Linked DNA regions of Anolis sagrei. The protein of the gene in region 2 interacts with the protein of the main gene of each other region in a biochemical or structural test. Links are inferred from orthologs where the notes say so. Each region holds a gene or a part of one and is shown on either strand. Other genes may lie near its edges.

Region 1 (3,930 bases), on a different chromosome or scaffold from region 2:
AGTTCTAGGGCGGAGGGAACAAGCTTGTTTTCCGCTGCCCTGAAGACTAGGACGCAAGGGAACAATGGCTTCAAACTACAAGAGAGGAGATTCCATCTGAACATTAGGAAGAACTTCCTGACTGTGAGAGCTGTTCAGCAGTGGAACTCTCTGCCCCGGAGTGTGGTGGAGGCTCCTTCTTTGGAGGCTTTTAAACAGAGGCTGGATGGCCATCTGTTGGGGGTGCTTTGAATGCAATTTTCCTGCTTCTAGGCAGAATGGGGTTGGACTGGATGGCCCAGGAGGTCTCTTCCAACTCTAGGGTTCTATGAGTCTATTCTATGGAATATGGGAGTCGTAGTTTTGCAAAGACTTAAATCTTCTCTTCCAAAGAGTGCTGTTTCTTCACCAAACTACATCTCCCAAGGTCCATAGCATAGCAATAGCAAGAAGAGGGCTGAAGTTAGCCCATGCCTGGTCTAGACCAAGGGAGGTCATAGTTCCAACTCAATTCTGCTTTGATCAGACCTCCTCATCTGGAGAAACCCTGCTTCCAGCATTTGGATGGATACCATGCCTCAATGCCTCAATGCGATAGCATGATGGGATTTGTAGTTTGGTGAGGCCCCAGCGGGGAAGGTTCAACACCTTGTAAAGCTACAACTCCCAGGATGCTGTCATACACCAGAGCAGGAACACCTCTGACCTTAAGCACCAAACCAGCTTGGTAAAATCAGCCTGAGGCCCCATTCTTTCCCCCTTCATGGGCCAACTTTGGCCCTCCAGGTGTTTTAGACTTCAACTCCCACCATTCCTAACAGCCTCAGGCCCCATCCTTTCCCCCTCAGCCGCTTAAGCAAGGAAAGGAAAGGGCCTGAGGCTGTTAGGAATTGTGGGAGTTGAAGTCCAAAACACCTGGAGGGCCCAAGTTGGACCATGAAGAGGGAAAGGATGGGGCCTGAGGCTGTTAGGAATGGTGGGAGTTGAAGTCCATAAAGACCTGGAGGGCCCAAGTTGGCCCATTAAGGGGGAAAGGATGGGGCCTGAGGCTGTTAGGAATTGTGAGAGTTGTAGTCCAAAAGACCTGGAGGGCCCAAGTTGGCCCATGAAGGGGGAAAGGATGGGGGCTGAGGCTGTTAGGAATTGTGGGAGTTGTAGTCCATAAAGACCTGGAGGGCCCAAGTTGGCCCATGAAGGGGGAAAGGATGGGGGCTGAGGCTGTTGGGAATTGTGGGAGTTGAAGTCCAAAACACCTGGAGGGCCCAAGTCGGGGTTGGCTTGACGCGCCTTCCTCTTGGCACATTTATCTCTTTTGCCCTCCTTCTGCAGCACTGCTGGTCACAGCTGACCTCCAGCTGGAGCGCTCAAGGGCCCAAGTTTGCTCAGGCCTGTCCTTTAGGATCATGGGGTTTGTAGTTTGGCACCTGGTCACCGAAACATAGCAGAGCATGTGCAGAGTGCTTTCGAGATCCTCCATGAACCTAAGACGTGCATCTATCACAGGCATGGGCAAATGTCATCCCTCCGGGCATTTTGGACTTCAGCATCCACAATTCCTAATAGCCGGCTGCTAGGGATTGTGGGTGTCGAAGTCCAAAATGCCCGGAGGGATGAATTTGCCTGTGCCTGATCTCCCTCGTAGAGTTCATAGAACGTAGAATCATAGAATCAAAGAGTTGGAAGAGACCTCATGGGCCATCCAGTCCAACCCCATTCTGCCAAGAAGCAGGAATATTGCATTCAAATCACCCCTGACAGATGGCCATCCAGCCTCTGCTTAAAAGCCTCCAAAGAAGGAGCCTCCACCACACTCCGGGGCAGAGAGTTCCACTGCTGAACGGCTCTCACAGTCAGAGAGTTCTTCCTAATGTTCAGATGCGCCGCAGACAAAGGAAGTTCAGGCAGTTTGACATCATTGTGTCATGCTCAGGGGTCCTATGGCATGAATCCTTTGCAATTCCCCACAAACAGATCCCCACATACCAAAACACCTAGAGGGGCCAAGTTGGCCCATGTCTGCACTAGATGGATACAGTGGACCCATTTGTGCCATTGCAAGAGATTTGAGCCTCTGGAGAGATGCTCACCCATGTGCCCATGCTACCCCTTGCTTACCGCTTCATGACCTCTTCTGTGGCTCTGTTTGTGGGGCCCCCGTCGAGACCTCTGGATCCCCCATGGGCCCCTTTCATGGCAGAAGGGGCCAGCAAACGAGTCGAGACAGGGAAGGCAGGGAAGAAGGCTGAACCTCGCTCGGCTGGACCAGGCGCAACCCTGTGCCTGGCACGATTGTTCCTGTGCCGGCATCACACGCCGTGCGCCAGCCCAGCCCTCTCTCTGCTGCGGCAGCATGGAGCGCACAAGCCGTGTGTTGCAGCGGCTGTCTTTGCTCCAAAAAGGGCTTCCTGAGCATCCCAGGAAGGCAGCGCAAAGGAAGCCCGGCTGCGATGCGCGGTCCAGATGCTTCCCGTAAAACACAGCAGCCCAGCCCTTGCCAAGGACGCATCCCAATGCTCCAAACGGAAAGGCGATGGTGGACGCATCACGGAATCAGCACACGCCTTGCATCTCCTTGCCAGGTTTCCTTGCAGGTCCATTGTCTGCAGCGCATCCTCTCCTTTCCCACACTGTGTCTCACAGGTAATTTGTTTTTCTCTGTATACAGATATATATATATATACACACACACACTAGCCACCCCCTGCCATGCATTGCTGTGGCCCAGTCTGTATATATGTATTTTGTGTGTGTATGTGTTATGGACCCACCCTGGAGGATTATCCTACTCGAACAACGAGGGGTCACCTAAGTAAGTAATGTGTGTGTATATATTTGTGTCTGCATATATATGTGTGTGTGGGTGTATATATGTGTGTGTATATTTGTGTATTTATATTTGTGTGTTTATTGGTTTATATATGTATATGCATCCTACTCGAACGAGAGGTCACCTAAGGAAGTAATGTGTGCTTATATATTTGTGTATATATGTGTGTTTGCATATATATGTGTGTGTGGGTGTATACATGTGTGTGCATATTTGTGTATTTGTGTGTTTATTTGTTTATATATGTATATGCATATTGTGTATTTGTGTGCTTGTCTATATGCATATTTGTGTGTATATATGTGTATGTATATATTTGTGTGCATGTGTATATGCATATACACATGTGTGCATGTATGTGTGCATGTGTATATGTATATGTGTGTATATATGTATATTTGTGTGTGCCTGTGCATATGTATATATGTGTGTATGTGTGTGTATATATGTGTGTATATTTGTATGTTCTTGTGCATATATGTGCGTGTGTATGAATGTGTGCATATGTATATATGTGTGTATGTGTGTATATATGTGTGTATATTTGTATGTGCTTGTGCACATGTGTATATGTATATGTGTTTATATATGTATATTTGTAAGTACATGTACATATGTATATATGTGTGTATATATGTGTGTGTATGAATGTGCACATGTGTATATGTATATGTGTTTATATATGTATATTTGTATGTGCATGTGCATATGTATATATGTGTGTATATTTGTATGTGCTTGTGCATGAATGTGTGTATGAATGTGTGCATATGTGTGTATATATGTGTATATTTGTATGTGCTTGTGCATATATGTGCGCATGTGCATGTGCATGTGTATATGTATATGTGTGCATGTGTATATGTATATGTGTGTATATATGTGTATATTTGTATGTGCTTGTGCATATGTGTGTGTATGAATGTGTGCATGTGTATATGTATGTGTGTATATATGTATATTTGTATGTGCATGTGCATACATATATGTGTGTATATATGTGTATATATTTGTATGTGCTTGTGCATATATGTGTCTGTGTATGAATGTGTGCATATGTATATATGTGTGTATGTGTGTATATGCGTATATTTGTATGTGCTTGTGCATATGTGTGTGTATGA
Region 2 (3,930 bases):
CTGTTTTGTTGTAGACACTAGTAGTTCACGCGCATACCGCAACGAGTGCATGTGTCGTGTACCGGCATGCCTCGGGAACAACTGTGCTCAGTTTCTGCTCTATAGCTAACCTGTACGGTTCTGTTCTGTGCTTTAAAAATGTTTAAGACTATCAACTCACCCACCACATGTGATACGGTTTTTGTCAGCAAGGAACCTGAGCGGTCCTCATCATGGACGTTGTCACGGCCATCTTTGAATTGTCGTACCCACTTACACACTTTGCTTTCACTCATAACAGTATCACCGTACACTTCACAAATCTGTCAATGGATTTCTGCAGCAGGAAGGTTCCTTGCTGACAAAAACCGTATCACTGAGCGAACCTCACATGCGGAGGGTGAGTTGATAGTCTTAAACATTTTTAAAGCACAGAACAGAACCATACAGGCTAGCTACTGAGCACAGTTGTTCCCGAGGCATGCGGTATGCGCTCGTTGCGGTATGCGTGCAAACTACTAGTGTCTACAACAAAACGGACCTTACTTAAAAAATACTCCTTGTAGATTATTGTTGTTGGCATTGAATGAATGCCTGTTGTGAAGCCACCCCGAGTCCCCCACTGGGGGTGAGAACCCTGAACGGTTTGGGACCACCCTACCTGCGTGACCGTATCGCTGTCTACGAACCCACACGCTCACTCCGGTCATCTGGAGAGGCCCTGCTCGTGATCCCGCCCGTGTCACAAGCATGCTTGGTGGGGACGCGAGACAGGGCCTTTTCTGTGGTGGCCCCCCGACTCTGGAACGCCCTCCCGAAAGATCTCAGACAAGCCCCTACATTGGCAGTCTTCAGGAAGGAATTGAAAACCTGGCTGTTCCGATGTGCCTTTTCAGATTAGGAACTTCCAGCACCAAATCCTAGAAGCATCTTAGTAGAACCAAGATCACTGCACACTGCACACCGCACTTATATTTAATCCCACATCAGCACTTTTAACCCTGTACCCCTACTTCGGCCGGCCCAGTTTTAATAGTTTCTTGTTGTATTGTTACTGTTATTGTTTTCCTGCTTAACTGTTTTTAATTTGCTTTGGGTATTGTATTGTTGTACTGTGTTTTTGGGGCTTCGGCCTGTGTAAGCCGCATCGAATCCCTTGGGAGATGCTAGTAGGGTATAAATAAAGTTATAATATAATAATAATAATAATAATAATAATAATAATAAGGATGGGATACAAATATACACTCCCCTTGAAGGCGCAGGTTCGCAGCTTGGGTGTGACCCTGGACTCGTCGCTGAGCCTGGATCCCCAGGTTTCAGCGGTGACCAGGGGAGCATTTGCACAGCTTAGACTCGTGCGCCAGCTGCGCCCGTATCTTGGGAAGTCTGACTTGGCCACGGTGGTACACGCTTTGGTCACATCCCGCCTCGACTACTGCAATGCTCTCTACGTGGGGCTGCCCTTGAAGACGGCCCGGAAGCTTCAGCTAGTCCAGCGCGCGGCAGCCATGTTGTTAACAGGAGCAGGGCGCAGGGAGCATACAACGCCCCTGCTGTCCCAGCTCCACTGGCTGCCGATTTGCTACCGGGCCCAATTTAAGGTGCTGGTGTTATCCTACAAAGCCCTAAACGGTTCCGGCCCAAAATACCTTGCAGACCGCATCTCGGCCTACGAGCCCACGAGGACCTTGAGATCATCCGGGGAGGCCCTTCTCTCGGTCCCGCCTGCCTCACAGGCACGCCTGGCGGGGACGAGAGAGCGGGCCTTCTCGGTGGTGGCCCCCCGGCTGTGGAACACCCTCCCTGCTGAAGTTAGACAGGCGCCCTCCCTTATGGCCTTTCGTAGGAGCCTGAAAACATGGCTCTTCGAGCTGGCCTTCAACTGAGTGCCATATCATTGGAAATGACGACCGGAATGGACTATGACTATGAAATCGACTATGACCCCAGGATATGACGAAGCAGATTTTTAGCATAAGTATAAGTTATGTAGTAGTAGATTGTTGTGTACTGTCTTGATTTATTGTAAACTGTCCTTTCTATGTTGTTGTTCACCGCCACGAGTCGCCCTAGGGCTGAGAGTGGCGGTCAATAAGTGCAAGAAATAAATAAATAGATAAATAATAAATAAATTAAATTTAAAAAGCGAGTCCACGCTGCCAGGTAATCTGGGATAAGCAGAAAAGCTGGGATCAGATCCTGGGGTATAGGCCCTGTCTGGAAGGGCCCTCAGAATCAAAGGTGTCACTATCTCAACCAATTTTGGAATGTTTCAGGATTTGGGATGAAGATAGCTCAACCTGTAATGTAAATACAGTAGACCTTATGGCAAAACCTAAAGAAATCTTTCTGAACAGCTGGATTGTGGTAGAATCTTAAATGTAGACTTATATAATATCTATGTCTTCACCACTCACAAGCTGCCATTCTTAAAAGTTCTGGTTTGAGATAATTTCAATAAAAAAAACCTAAGTGTTGAAAAATAAAAGGCGAGGGAGAAGCGGAGCTGGGTAGGGCCCAGCCTGGGTTGGGGTGCCTCTGTGGCCTGCCTGCCTGCCTTCTACTCACCCACGTCCTGGTCGAAGGGGTTCGTCGTGAAGAGCGGCATCTTCTCGAGAGGGGAGAAGGGAATGCAGCGGCCGAGGGAAGCAGGCTCCGTCCGGCCGCCCCTCCGGCCCTGGGGCGAGGAAGGAGGGGAGGACAACCAACGGCAACAAACGCCTCCGCGGAGCGACTGAGGGCGCGAGGCCCCAAGGCGGCTCAAGCTCCGCCCCCAAACGGCCCCCTCCCTCCGTCCCTCCCTTGCTCGCGCTCCTTCGCCTCCCTCTCTCTCAGCAAAGCCAGAGCCGCCTCGAAAACCGGCCTCGCGCTGCATGCCGGGAGAAAAGGAAGTAAAAGGTATTGTCGAAGGCTTTCATGGCCGGAATCACTCAGTTCTTGTGGGTTTTTTCGGGCTATATGGCCATGTTCTAGAGGCATTTCTCCTGACGTTTCGCCTGCATCTATGGCAGGCATCCTCAGAGGTAGAGGTCTGTTGGAATTAGGACAATGGGTTTATATATCTGTGGAATGGCTGGGGTGGGGCAAGGAGCTCTTCCCTGCTGCAGTTAGGTGTGAAGTTTAGCTAATCACCTTCATTAGCATTTGAAGGCCTGCCTGAACCTGGGAAAATCTGTTGCTGGGAGGTGTTAATCTGTGCCTGGTTTCTTCCTCTCTGTTGTTTAGCTGTTATAATTTTAGAGTTCTTTAATACTGGTAGCCAGATTTTGTTCATTTTCATGGTCTCTTCCTTTCTGTTGAAATTGTCCACATGCTTGTGGATTTCAATGGCTTCTCTGTGTAGTCTGACATGGTGGTTGTTTGTGTGGTCCAGCATTTCTGTGTTCTCAAATAATATGCTGTGTCCAGGCTGGTTCATCAGGTGCTCTGCTATGGCTGACTTCTCTGGTTGAAGTAGTCTGCAGTGCCTTTCATGTTCCTTGATGCGTGTCTGGGCGCTGCGTTTGGTGGTCCCTATGTAGACTTGTCCACAGCTGCATGGTATCCGGTAGACTCCTGCAGAGGTGAGAGGATCCCTCTTGTCTGATGAACCAGCCTGGACACAGCATATTATTTGAGAACACAGAAATGCTGGACCACACAAACAACCACCATGTCAGACTACACAGAGAAGCCATTGAAATCCACAAGCATGTGGACAATTTCAACAGAAAGGAAGAGACCATGAAAATGAACAAAATCTGGCTACCAGTATTAAAGAACTCTAAAATTATAACAGCTAAACAACAGAGAGGAAGAAACCAGGCACAGATTAACACCTCCCAGCAACAGATTTTCCCAGGTTCAGGCAGGCCTTCAAATGCTAATGAAGGTGATTAGCTAAACTTCACACCTAACTGCAGCAGGGAAGAGCTCCTTGCCCCACCCCAGCCATTCCACAGATATATA

Evidence for each region.
Region 1: the proteins of STAM (region 2) and ARRB1 form a complex in vitro, tested with the Homo sapiens proteins (2 studies listed by BioGRID). The link is inferred for Anolis sagrei from reciprocal best matches to the Homo sapiens genes STAM and ARRB1.

The regions. Positions count from the first base shown.
Region 1 is NC_090023.1:3,236,035-3,239,964, reverse strand, and holds the start of ARRB1 (beta-arrestin-1), read right to left. Parts: upstream 2,441-3,930; 5' UTR 2,172-2,440; coding exon 2,095-2,171; intron 1-2,094. UniProt on the Homo sapiens protein: Functions in regulating agonist-mediated G-protein coupled receptor (GPCR) signaling by mediating both receptor desensitization and resensitization processes.
Region 2 is NC_090026.1:106,026,944-106,030,873, reverse strand, and holds the start of STAM (signal transducing adapter molecule 1), read right to left. Parts: upstream 2,774-3,930; 5' UTR 2,591-2,773; coding exon 2,551-2,590; intron 1-2,550. UniProt on the Homo sapiens protein: Involved in intracellular signal transduction mediated by cytokines and growth factors. Upon IL-2 and GM-CSL stimulation, it plays a role in signaling leading to DNA synthesis and MYC induction. May also play a role in T-cell development.